Xenopus tropicalis: one gene and its partners. The protein of the gene in region 2 binds, or shares a complex with, the protein of the main gene of each other region. Links are inferred from orthologs where the notes say so. Each region holds a gene or a part of one and is shown on either strand. Other genes may lie near its edges. The genes, in order: nup160, nup205 and nup93.

Region 1 (3,653 bases), on a different chromosome or scaffold from region 2:
ATTTTTTTTTTCCCCCCAGGAAATCATTTCAGACAGCCACATTCAATCAATATTTACTGACATTGGGAAGACCAATTTCCACGATCCCAACAACACCTATGTGATTCCAGCTATTCCTGGACGAGCCCCCAATTCTACTGCTTCCACGGCATGGCTAAGCAGCGATGGAGAGGCACTGTTTGCGCTCCCCTCTGTTTCAGGAGGAATTCTTGTAATTAAAATGCCTCCTCGTGACATGGAAGGTACTAGTGATTGCCTAACATTTTATTTTTAAGAATATGGAAAGGCTTTGATGAAATAGAATCCTTGGACAGCGCTCCCTCCCCACTCCTGAACAGTTTCCCCCCCTTCACCTTTTGTCTAAGCCTTTCATTCACCTATTTCTTTGGGCAATATTTCTTAAAAAACAAACTTGTAGAATACTAGAGAGTGGACCTGATAGACAAGGAAGTACACTAAACCTATAAGCTTATGCCTGGGATGTTAATGTTGTTGGGCCATTTTGCTTTTGGTCAGGACTATCATTTACATACCTAGAGAATGGTGTGAGTAAGATGGCCACATTTTGTTGTACCTTAGGTGTACCTGCTGTACTTTTGGGGGCATAATTTTATGTTTCTATATGTATATTTCCTTTTTTCATGTTTCTGTAGGACTTGTGACCATTGCAGAATTGAAACAAAGTTCTGTAATGCAGCGACTTCTCACAGGGTGGATGCCTTCATCTATACGGTGAGTGATGTCTTGGTGGTCTCACAGGTTGGATATATTCCAAAACTCATTACAGGGATTATATCCTTTTGCATCAGTCTCTGCAACCAGTAGAGCTTACAATCTAAGGTTCATGTTAAACACACACACACTATAGTCAGTTTAATCAGGTGATTGCTATTACATTTACAGGACTAGGGAATATTTTCCTTTTAACAGTTGGTTGCTGAAATCATGTAGGGATTACATGGCACTTTTACTACTATGTTCATTGGGGGCATTGGGTTGTATCCCATATAAAAAAAAAAGTAGTAACTGATAAACTGTTGTATGGTATTGTGGCTCTCAAGATGGTAATTATGAATTTATGTGCCTAGAGGTGACCCGGGTCCGGCGCACCTTCCTGTAAGCCTTGCAGTTCATACACTTGATCATGATTCCTACCTCTTCGCTCTGTGTCAGGATCATAAACTCCGCATGTGGTCATACAAGGTGAGATTTTTTTAAATTATTTTGAGATAATCTGTGGTTTGTACAGATGGAACAGTCTTTATAACGGTATTTGGCATGATATTATAATAGTGATGTGCAGCAAGCCTGAAACCTGAGCGGTTTGGGCCAAAATGTCTGCACACAATGCTGGTTCAGGTTGGCTGTGGGTCATACTGTTCTTGCAATGCCCATAGTACTGTGTAAAACTGCTTTAAGTTTATTGCTTCAAAAATCCCAGCTTCTCCATCTTCACTGGCTCACTAGATTATACAGGTGCCATTGATATGCAATTACAAGATGGGTGCTGGTCTGACCAGTGGCAACATTTTGGGGTTAGGGTCAGTTCCAGTTGAGTTGTTCCTGACCCTCTCAGCACTATATTGAGAGTTGGTGTGGCTGTGTGTGCCACATGACTTAAGCCAGCCTCTTCTGAATTAGATCATTTTATTGTGTAATTACCCTTAAACATATTAAGATTTCATTATCTTGCTAAAACTAAAAAGACATTTAGAAAAAAAAAAAAAATTTTAAGCAGCTTTCGATTGTGACTTTATAAAAATGTTTTCGTGCTTAAAGAGCTTGTGTTACATTGTTTCAAAAGCCAGAGCCACCAGGGCAAAGTATAGAAAAGGACAGACAAACATTGATTTTCATAGCAATAATATATACAAATAACTTTAAAAAAACTGTTACAATTTTGTAATGATTGTATATTACAGAGTTGCTTAGAATTACGTTTTCTTTTTGAGTTGACATGTCCTTTAATATGAACTGTGACCATTTTATATATTGCGAACATCAGACGTCATGGTCCTTTACTTTTCCCTGGAGCACAAGTGCTTAAGAAATGAGGGCCACACAAAAGTGGCCATCTAACAAGCATCTGTGCCCTGAGGAAAGCTGCACTTTGCATACTGCATTCTGCAACATAAATGACCCCTTCCATGTTTTTAAGCTAGTTAGAAAACACAGCATAGAAATCTGGAGGCCTTGACGACAAACCTATAGAATTCCAAACAAATGATTAATAAGCCTGTATCATAGTTAAGGGTGGTAGAGATTAGCAGTAATACTTTCTGATTTGTTGGTTCTATTGTAACTTTCTTTTCTTTCTGTAATTTTTTTTTTCCCCCAAACAAAGCTAAAGCCTTTAAAAAAATAAATAAATAATGAGCTTTGGTGCTTTATTCCCAGGATCAAATGTGCCTTATGGTCGCCGACATGTTGGAATATGTGCCAGTTAGCAAAGATATCCGTCAAACAGCTGGGACAGGACACAAACTGCGGCTTGCCTACTCAGATACATTAGAAATACTTTACCTTGGGGTATATTTGCACACACCCAGACAAGGACAGGTAAATTGGAATCCGGATATTCTTTAATTATTGCAGGGGTCGGGAACCTTTTTGGCTGAGAGAGCCATAAACACCACATATTTTAAAATGTAATTCCGTGAGAGCCATACAATATGTTGGGCTGCGGGGCAAGGTAGGGTGGGTGCCAAGGATGAGGAGGAGGGCGTAGCCTGCGCTCGGCGGATAGAAGACGTGTTTTGAGGCTTAGAACACGTCTTCTATCCGCCAAGCGCAGGCCACGCCCCCTGTTATTTTTTTTATTAAAGATTTGGCAGAGAGCCAGATGCAGCCATCAAAAGAGCCACATCTGGCTCCCGAGCCATAGGTTCCCTACCCCTGAATTATTGTCTTGTCATTTTTGTGTCCATAAGTTCTGTCCTATTTCTTGTGATGCTATTACTGTCCTGTTATTTGCATTGCATCCACAGATCTTGGTCAGGCACAATGGTTGGCTATTTCTTCTTGTCTCTAATTAGAAACTCTCAAGTAGGCTCCAAAGTTTTTAGTCATGGAACTTTCTTTTGTGCCAGTCATGATGGGAATTAGATGTTGACTTACTTTAAGGTGGAAGGACTTAAAGGGGTTGTTTGGGTTAACTTTTAATACGTTCCAAAACGGCAACTTTTTAATTGGTCTTGATTTTATCTTTTATAGTTTCTGAAGGGGTCACTGCCCCCGACAAGCAAAAAAAAACTATAGCTCTGTGAGGCTACAATTTTATTATTATTGCTACTTTATTGACCAGACGTAAATTGGACCATAGCAACCAGAAATAGTTGACCGTTTTTCCTTTTGTCCCTTTTCCTAGTTCTGTGTATTCCAGTTGGTGTGCACGGAAAGCAATCGCTACAGTTTGGAGCATACTTCCTCAATATTCACTAATCAGGTAAGCAAGTTGTTAAGAAAACTCCCCCAAAACAGTAAAATAGCATTTGAAATGGATTCCGACTTCCCGCTTCAGCAACGCCTTAAGATCTTTTCGGTGTCACCGTTTGTCATAGTTTCATTATAAAACGTTTTTTTTTTTTCCCTATTTTCTGATCAGGAAACTCTCATCGACTTCACTTTTACTTTATCTTCTATGAACATTTGGG
Region 2 (3,653 bases):
CTGCAGGTAATACAGCAGCGATCCGTACAGGTGGGCCCTGACCCGTTGGAACCCACCTCCTATTTGAAGATTGAGAAAGATAAAATGTCAATACACACACACAAACAGGGCCGCCATCAGAAATCACAGGGCCCCTCACAACAACATTTTCTAGGCCCCCCCCTCTCCCACCCCTTGCCCCCCAGTAGCCCCTCCCCTAGTGACCCATCCCATCAGTACAAAGGACACAGACATTGGTAGCCAGGGCCTCCTAAACATTGGTAGCCAGGGCCCCCCTAAACATTGGTAGCCAGGGCCCCCCTAAAACATTGGTAGCCAGGGCCCCACTAAAACACTGGTAGCCAGGGGTTACGTTTTGCATTGGTGCCAGGGCAGGGACCCCCTAAAACATTGCTAGCCAGCCCAGGGCCCCCTAAAACATTGCTGGTCCTACCCCAGTGTCCTCATATTATGGCCCAATTCCCACTGCTTCCTCCCGCTCCCCCCAGCATCCTCCAGCTCCCCAACCCAGCATCTTCCAGCTCCCCAACCCAGCATTCTCCAGCTCCCCCACCCAGCATCTTCCAACTCTCCCCACCCAGCATCTTCCAACTCTCCCCACCCAGCATCTTCCAACTCTCCCCACCCAGCATCTTCCAACTCTCCCCACCCAGCATCTTCCAACTCTCCCCACCCAGCATCTTCCAACTCTCCCCACCCAGCATCTTCCAACTCTCCCCACCCAGCATCTTCCAACTCTCCCCACCCAGCGTCTTCCAACTCCCCCACCCAGCGTCTTCCAACTCCCCCACCCAGCGTCTTCCAACTCCCCCCACCCAGCGTCTTCCAACTCCCCCCACCCAGCGTCTTCCAACTCCCCCACCCAGCGTCTTCCAACTCTCCCCACCCAGCGTCTTCCAACTCTCCCCACCCAGCGTCTTCCAACTCTCCCCACCCAGCGTCTTCCAACTCTCCCCACCCAGCATCTTCCAACTCTCCCCACCCAGCATCTTCCAACTCTCCCCACCCAGCATCTTCCAACTCTCCCCACCCAGCATCTTCCAACTCTCCCCACCCAGCATCTTCCAACTCTCCCCACCCAGCATCTTCCAACTCTCCCCACCCAGCGTCTTCCAACTCTCCCCACCCAGCGTCTTCCAACTCCCCCCACCCAGCGTCTTCCAACTCCCCCCACCCAGCGTCTTCCAACTCCCCCACCCAGTGTCTTCCAACTCCCCCCACCCAGCGTCTTCCAACTCCCCCCACCCAGCGTCTTCCAACTCTCCCCACCCAGCGTCTTCCAACTCTCCCCACCCAGCGTCTTCCAACTCTCCCCCCCAGCGTCCTCCAGCTTCCCCCCTCCCAGCGTCCTCCAGCTCCCCCCTCCCAGCGTCCTCCAGCTCCCCCCTCCCAGCGTCCTCCAGCTCCCCCCCTCCCAGCGTCCTCCTGCGATTTACGTCACGTGTACACACGGGGCGCAACCAATGGAAGTACCCGCTGACCACCAATGACAGGGCCCGTAATTCTTTAAAGGGGGCCCGAGCTAAAAAAAAAACCTGTATCACGGCCGGGCCCCCTTTAAAGCCAGGATCGTCCGGGCCCGGGACAACTGTCCCCCCCGATGACGGCCCTGCACACAAATGGTGGACTTTCCCTGCTGAAAGTCAAAGACCCAATGGGAATGATGCAGACCTGTTTTTAGAATGAACTCGAGCAGATTCCTGAGAATCATGTGAAGGGAGGAGTCTCCAATGGATGCAAAACCAGCGGAGAGGTTTTCTGTCCCAGGAGGGGCAGCGAATGAGCCGTCCAGCATTTGCACATATTGCGACTGGCCCAGCCCAGCGGCAGCCATCGGCTGTTTCAGCTCGGTACGTACAGATTGGCTGAGATGAGTGGTGAGGGTGAAGACTGCCCCGGCGACAATGGGCATTAGTTCTTGGGCAGCGTCGTCGTCGAGGATCTGGAAGGAAGGAGAGTTGGGAATTGCTGAATCACCACACAAGGAGTGGGGTAGAGAGGGGCAGCGGGTAAGCACAGAAGCACTTTTGCAATTGGTGATTGGCTTTTTTTCAACTGGCTGTAGGTAGAACAATGAATGTTAGAATTTGATTGGTTACAATAGGTTACTGCCCATGGGAAAATTTGCCCAGTGTTGTTAAATGAGCCCCGGTCTCTATCCCAACGGACAATCTCTGCAACTACGCAGACCCCAGCACTGGGTAAGTGGTTCGTTTTAATTTACAATATCATATGAAGGAAATGTAAGGTGATGAGGTTACCTTATCATGCAGATCTTGCAGCAGGTCTCGTATGATGAGCTGTCTGTGCTCAGTCGGAATGAGGTCCTGGGGACAGGCGGTCAGTATGATCTCCACAAGTTGCCGCCATGATTCCAGCGCATGGCGTTTGGCGTGGAGGCACTGCAGCAGCTTGTTCCTTTCCACCACGTACTGAAGGATGGTGTTGATTTCCTACACAAACAGGGGACGCAAGAGACACTATAACCAACAAGTCTGTAGCCAGATGCAACGGCTACTTGTCAGGGGGCTGTAAAGGTGGCCATACACGCTAAGGTCCGCTCGCTTGGCAAGGTCGCCAAGCGAGCCGATCTTCTCCCAATATCCCCACATACGGACGGGCAATATCGGGCTAATTCGGTTGTTTGGCCCTGGAGTCAAACGATCAAATTAGAATGAAGGGTAAAGGCGTCTGTCGATTCAGGGACCACATCAACGAGCCGATGCAGTCCCCGATCCGACTGATTTTCAAACCTGCCTGGTCGAGATATGGACGATTTCAGGCCAGATATGGGTCAGGCAGGCCTGTGGGTAGTGCCCATACACGGGCCGATAAGCTGCCAGATCAGTCTAAGGGACCCATATCAGCAGCTAGAATCGGCCCGTGTATGGCCACCTTTAGCCAAGCAGCTTTGAGTGGCAGATAGAGTATACTCATTGCTTATATATCAGAAATGCACCCAAGTACTTAATGCCAGGTACATTCTGCTATAACGCAATATCAGTGCACCATTGGGGGCCTATTTATCGTACTGTGTAAAAAAAAAATGGCGGCCAAATACAAACATCACCAGGCATCTCTGCTAGAAGGGGATGCGGTGCTAGTGGTGGGGAGGGGGAACATGTGCTGCCCAGAACCGGCTAGAGAGGACCTCCGTTCTCTGCATGATCCCCTGCAAGGATCCCTAGTCTCACCAGGAGCTGTGATCTGGGAGGCTTCTACCTGTCATAGAAGGTTAGATGGCCCTGGGGTTATTGTTCCTGAATTGGGGGTTAACCCTCTGATCCCTACCCCAAGTATTGCCCTAGCTGTCACAACTACTCACTGACCAAGGGGCTCCTTTCGTCAAGTCTCACTGGAGACCTTAGGGTCCGACCTCCTGTAGACGGGACTCTTGAAAAACTGGTCTTAAGGTGGCCATACACCTTAGACCGATTAGGCAGTTTATTGGGCCATGTAGGGGCACAAACGAGGGGCCTGCTCGACCGATATCTGGCCTGAAATCGGGCAGCTATCGATTGGGCAGGATAAAAAATGTAGTCGGATCGGGGACCACATTGGTTCGTTGATGCAGTTCCTGAACCGACTGCGCCTATTACTGGCGTTTTAATTCGATCGTCTAGCCACAGGGCCAAACGACCAAATTAGCCTAA
Region 3 (3,653 bases), on a different chromosome or scaffold from region 2:
GATTTAACGGTAAGTAAATAAACCCCTGTTTCTCATACGTCCTGGCAGTCCAGACACCCTGTGTGGTATGGCCTAATGAGTATATGAAGATCATATTGTTCAGTTAAAGGTGTTGTTTACCATTAAATTAACTTTTGTTGTAAAGAGGGATATTCTGAGACAATTTGTAACTGGTTTTCATTTTATATTATTTGTGTTTTATAAGTTATTTTAGCTTTCTATTCACCAGCTCTCCAGTTTGGATTTTTGACAGCTATCTGGCTAGGGTCCAAATTACTCTAGCAACCAGGCAGTGATTTGAATGAGAGCTTAGAATATGAATAGGAGAAGCCTGAATAAAAACAAAAATAATAAAAAGTAGCAATAATAATTAAATTGTAGCCGCGCAAAGCAAGTTTTTTAAATACTGGGGTCATTAACCCCATGAAAGAGTCAAAAGTACAAGGCAAATCATTCAAAAGGTAAAATAAGTAACAACTGAAAAGCTGCTTAGAATTAGCCTTTCTATAACATACTAATTGTTAACTCAAAGCGCAGTGCTCCCCAAGCAGTGGCTAGTGAACATGTTCACCAAGTATAATGCCAAACAGGGCCTTCTGTAGGCTCCCAGTGCACATAGGGGCTACATAGCCAATGATAGCTCTTACTGTCACCCCCAGGAATCTTTCTCATGCTTGTGTTGCTCCCCCACACTTTTTCCATTTGAATGTGGCTCACAGGTATAAAAGGTTGGGGATCGTTGACTTAAAGGTAAACCAACCCTTTAATACTGCACTGTAGGATGCAGCACCACTAAAATTTTGCACATACCAAATGTAATTGTTTTCTAGTCTAAATTTAGCAAAACAGTAAATATATACTGTATATATACACACATATATAAATACATATATCCACTGTTAAGTTAGTTAACCCCTAAAATTTCTTTGACAAAACATGTCATTTACCCAAAATTTGCCTATCCCGGCTATTAGCAGATTTAAGGACATGTAAACCCCACACACAAAAATGTAATTAGTGAACAGCCTCTTTAAAATCTTTCAATACCTGCCACACTGGTTGTCCAGGGGTTAATAGTAAGGCTGCAACATTCCCTTAATTACTTAGATTTGTTCTCCTCCTGTAACCCACTCAGCCCCCTCCCTCAAGAATTTGCTTTGGCTTGTGGGCATGCTCAGTTGTTCTAAGCTCAGATTACTAAACATGCCCCCCAGTCTAGCAGCCAGCGAAGAGATGGCATTGCTGGTTCCCATAGAAACTCAGCTCTAGCTGTCTGCTTCAATTTTTTTTCTCCCAACCAACTCTCCTGAACTCAGCTCAAACAAAGCAGAACTTTTATCAAAGACAGTTGTGCCTGTGTGTATGCCTGTATTCTTGAGCCTGTAATCAGACGAAAAATGGCCACCGGGTGAAAGCTGCTATTTGGTTTAGGAAAATGTGATGGTGCTGGCAAGCACAGGGGATATATGCAGTACAAATGGGTGAGGGGGATGTGCCCAACTGATATACATTGTAGGCAAATGTAGCCTTCACATGTTCTTTAAGGTTGCACAACCATTCTATTTATTTAACTTGTCTTTTTAAGACTAAATGGACATTCCTCACCATTTTCTCTACCATTTAAAGTAGATAAGGCCCCTTTACCTGGATATCCGTGTCTTTAACAGGTTCCAAAGGCTCGAATGTTGTGGCTGCACTAAGACTCTCAAGCCTCTGGGAAATGTGAGAGATGTCAAGACCTCTTGATCCCAGCAGAACAGACCTTTAATAATTATAAAAAAGCGGTATATTTATTACTATATACTGTCCAACATTTAAGTAATATATAGAATGTTCTGAAAAAGGGAGTTTTGTACTTACCATAAAATGAAAGGCTAATAAATTGGCAATAAGTTAGGCACCCCCAATGAATTAAATCAGACTAGCGCTTCACAAAAATCCACCAGCCCCAACTTGGTCAGGCCCTGAGCAGGAGTCATTGTTTAAAGTCTGCAGGGTCTTTATCTCAATGGTTGCCTGTGCCCACCAACCTATGCAAAAGAATATATTTTGCTACACTGCCCTCCACTGTACTAAGATTTCACTCCACAACCTTATAGTCACTACTGTTCACATCCAAAACCTGAAAGCCCTTTCTCAGCACCTTTCCTCATAAACATCATCGGTGCCATGTGTAAAGCAACCACTTTACAACCTAGTATTCCTCTGTAATGTTGCTCCTAGGAAAAAAACACCACATTTATTCATGCAGCATTTATTAAAAGGGTTGTTTAGTAATTGCTACTTGAAGCTGTGCTCAAAATGCCTGTAGTAGATCTTTCAATTACCATGATCAGAATTTTTTTCCAAAGTTTGCCTGTATTGCGATCATCATCCAAAAATAACTGGCCTTATGGGATGAAACCCAAGCTTCTTTAGCAAAGTTATAAGTTATCAAAATACCATGTGACAGTCCTTAATCAAAAATAACTGGTACTTACGCTTTCACATTGGCTGACTCCTGAGAAGTGCGAGTCATGGTTTTGGAGCGCAACCTCTCACCAGCCTGCTGGATCTCCTGTAGGTTCCTCTCTACATGAGGTAGTTCAGTAACTCCTTCTGTTTCTGCAGCAAGCTGCTCAGCCTGCTGCAGAAGCTCTCCAAACCCTTCTCCATCCATTGTCACAGGAGATCTGCAAAACAGAGCATATAGAGTATACTATTACAATGCACTTCCAAACAGGCTTTATGCCCAGTAAAAGCAATGCCATCAACTTGAGAAGGTTATATATATACCTTCAAATTGATCGCCACAATTCCAGCTTCAGAGTTCTGGCATCTCTGGATGCCACCAAAGCATTTAACTTGGTCAAATAGTCATATTTATGGAAAGTATTTGAAAAATTAGGTATAGGTATCATTTTTTATTTCCTCGATAACCTATGCCATAATGGTCCACCAGTCCCCTAATATCATCGGGCTCAAGTGTAGGAGATTGGATGAAAAGGTAGCTTTATATGCAGATGAAATCCAATTACTTCTGGAGGTCCGAAATGTCAAGCCATGTTTTAGAACTAGCAGAAAGGTTCAGCGTATTAAAGGAAAACTAAACCCTAAAAATTAATATGGCTAGAAATGCCATACTTTATATAATAAACTGACTGCACTGGCTTTAAAATTTCAGCATCTCTGTAGTAGTAATGACATAGGTCTTTACAGGAGCTCCTCATCTTGGATTCTGTTAGATCTGTCTGGGACAGTGCACATGCTCAGTGTGCTCTGAGCAGCAGTTGAAAAGTTTAGGGGTTGCTGCAAATTTTCAAGCAGAAAATTAGGTTTGTCATAGAAGCTGATGCTACAGGGCTAATTTTTCAATTAGATGCAATTGCCCTGGTTTCAGATCAGCCTTTTACTGTTAAATTTATATTTTTATTTATGTAATATATTTTGAGCCGGTCCCTAACTGAAAGCAGCACAGAGAATGTGCAGTGAATCAGCAAAAAAGAAGATGGGAAGCTACTGGGCATCTTTGGAGGCACTGATCTTCCCTACTAAAAGGCTGTGGTCGCCTTGGGCTGGTACAGAAGGCCAAAACATAATGTACAACATTTCTGCCCTAATTCTTTAGTTAGGCTTTTGTTCTCCTTTTAGTGGGCTCACTATTAACAAGGGTA

The links.
Region 1: nup205 (region 2) and nup160 share a complex: the UniProt entries of both Homo sapiens proteins name them as parts of the nuclear pore complex. The link is inferred for Xenopus tropicalis from reciprocal best matches to the Homo sapiens genes NUP205 and NUP160.
Region 3: nup205 (region 2) and nup93 share a complex: the UniProt entries of both Homo sapiens proteins name them as parts of the nuclear pore complex. The link is inferred for Xenopus tropicalis from reciprocal best matches to the Homo sapiens genes NUP205 and NUP93.

What each region holds. Positions count from the first base shown.
Region 1 is NC_030680.2:15,984,159-15,987,811, forward strand, and holds part of nup160 (nuclear pore complex protein Nup160), read left to right. Parts: intron 1-19; coding exon 20-242; intron 243-653; coding exon 654-732; intron 733-1,088; coding exon 1,089-1,203; intron 1,204-2,397; coding exon 2,398-2,559; intron 2,560-3,367; coding exon 3,368-3,445; intron 3,446-3,604; coding exon 3,605-3,653. UniProt on the Homo sapiens protein: Functions as a component of the nuclear pore complex (NPC). Involved in poly(A)+ RNA transport.
Region 2 is NC_030679.2:6,626,812-6,630,464, forward strand, and holds part of nup205 (nuclear pore complex protein Nup205), read right to left. Parts: intron 2,454-3,653; coding exon 2,262-2,453; intron 1,943-2,261; coding exon 1,672-1,942; intron 60-1,671; coding exon 1-59. UniProt on the Homo sapiens protein: Plays a role in the nuclear pore complex (NPC) assembly and/or maintenance. May anchor NUP62 and other nucleoporins, but not NUP153 and TPR, to the NPC.
Region 3 is NC_030680.2:43,618,581-43,622,233, reverse strand, and holds part of nup93 (nuclear pore complex protein Nup93), read right to left. Parts: intron 2,673-3,653; 5' UTR 2,660-2,672; coding exon 2,481-2,659; intron 1,763-2,480; coding exon 1,645-1,762; intron 1-1,644. UniProt on the Homo sapiens protein: Plays a role in the nuclear pore complex (NPC) assembly and/or maintenance. May anchor nucleoporins, but not NUP153 and TPR, to the NPC. During renal development, regulates podocyte migration and proliferation through SMAD4 signaling.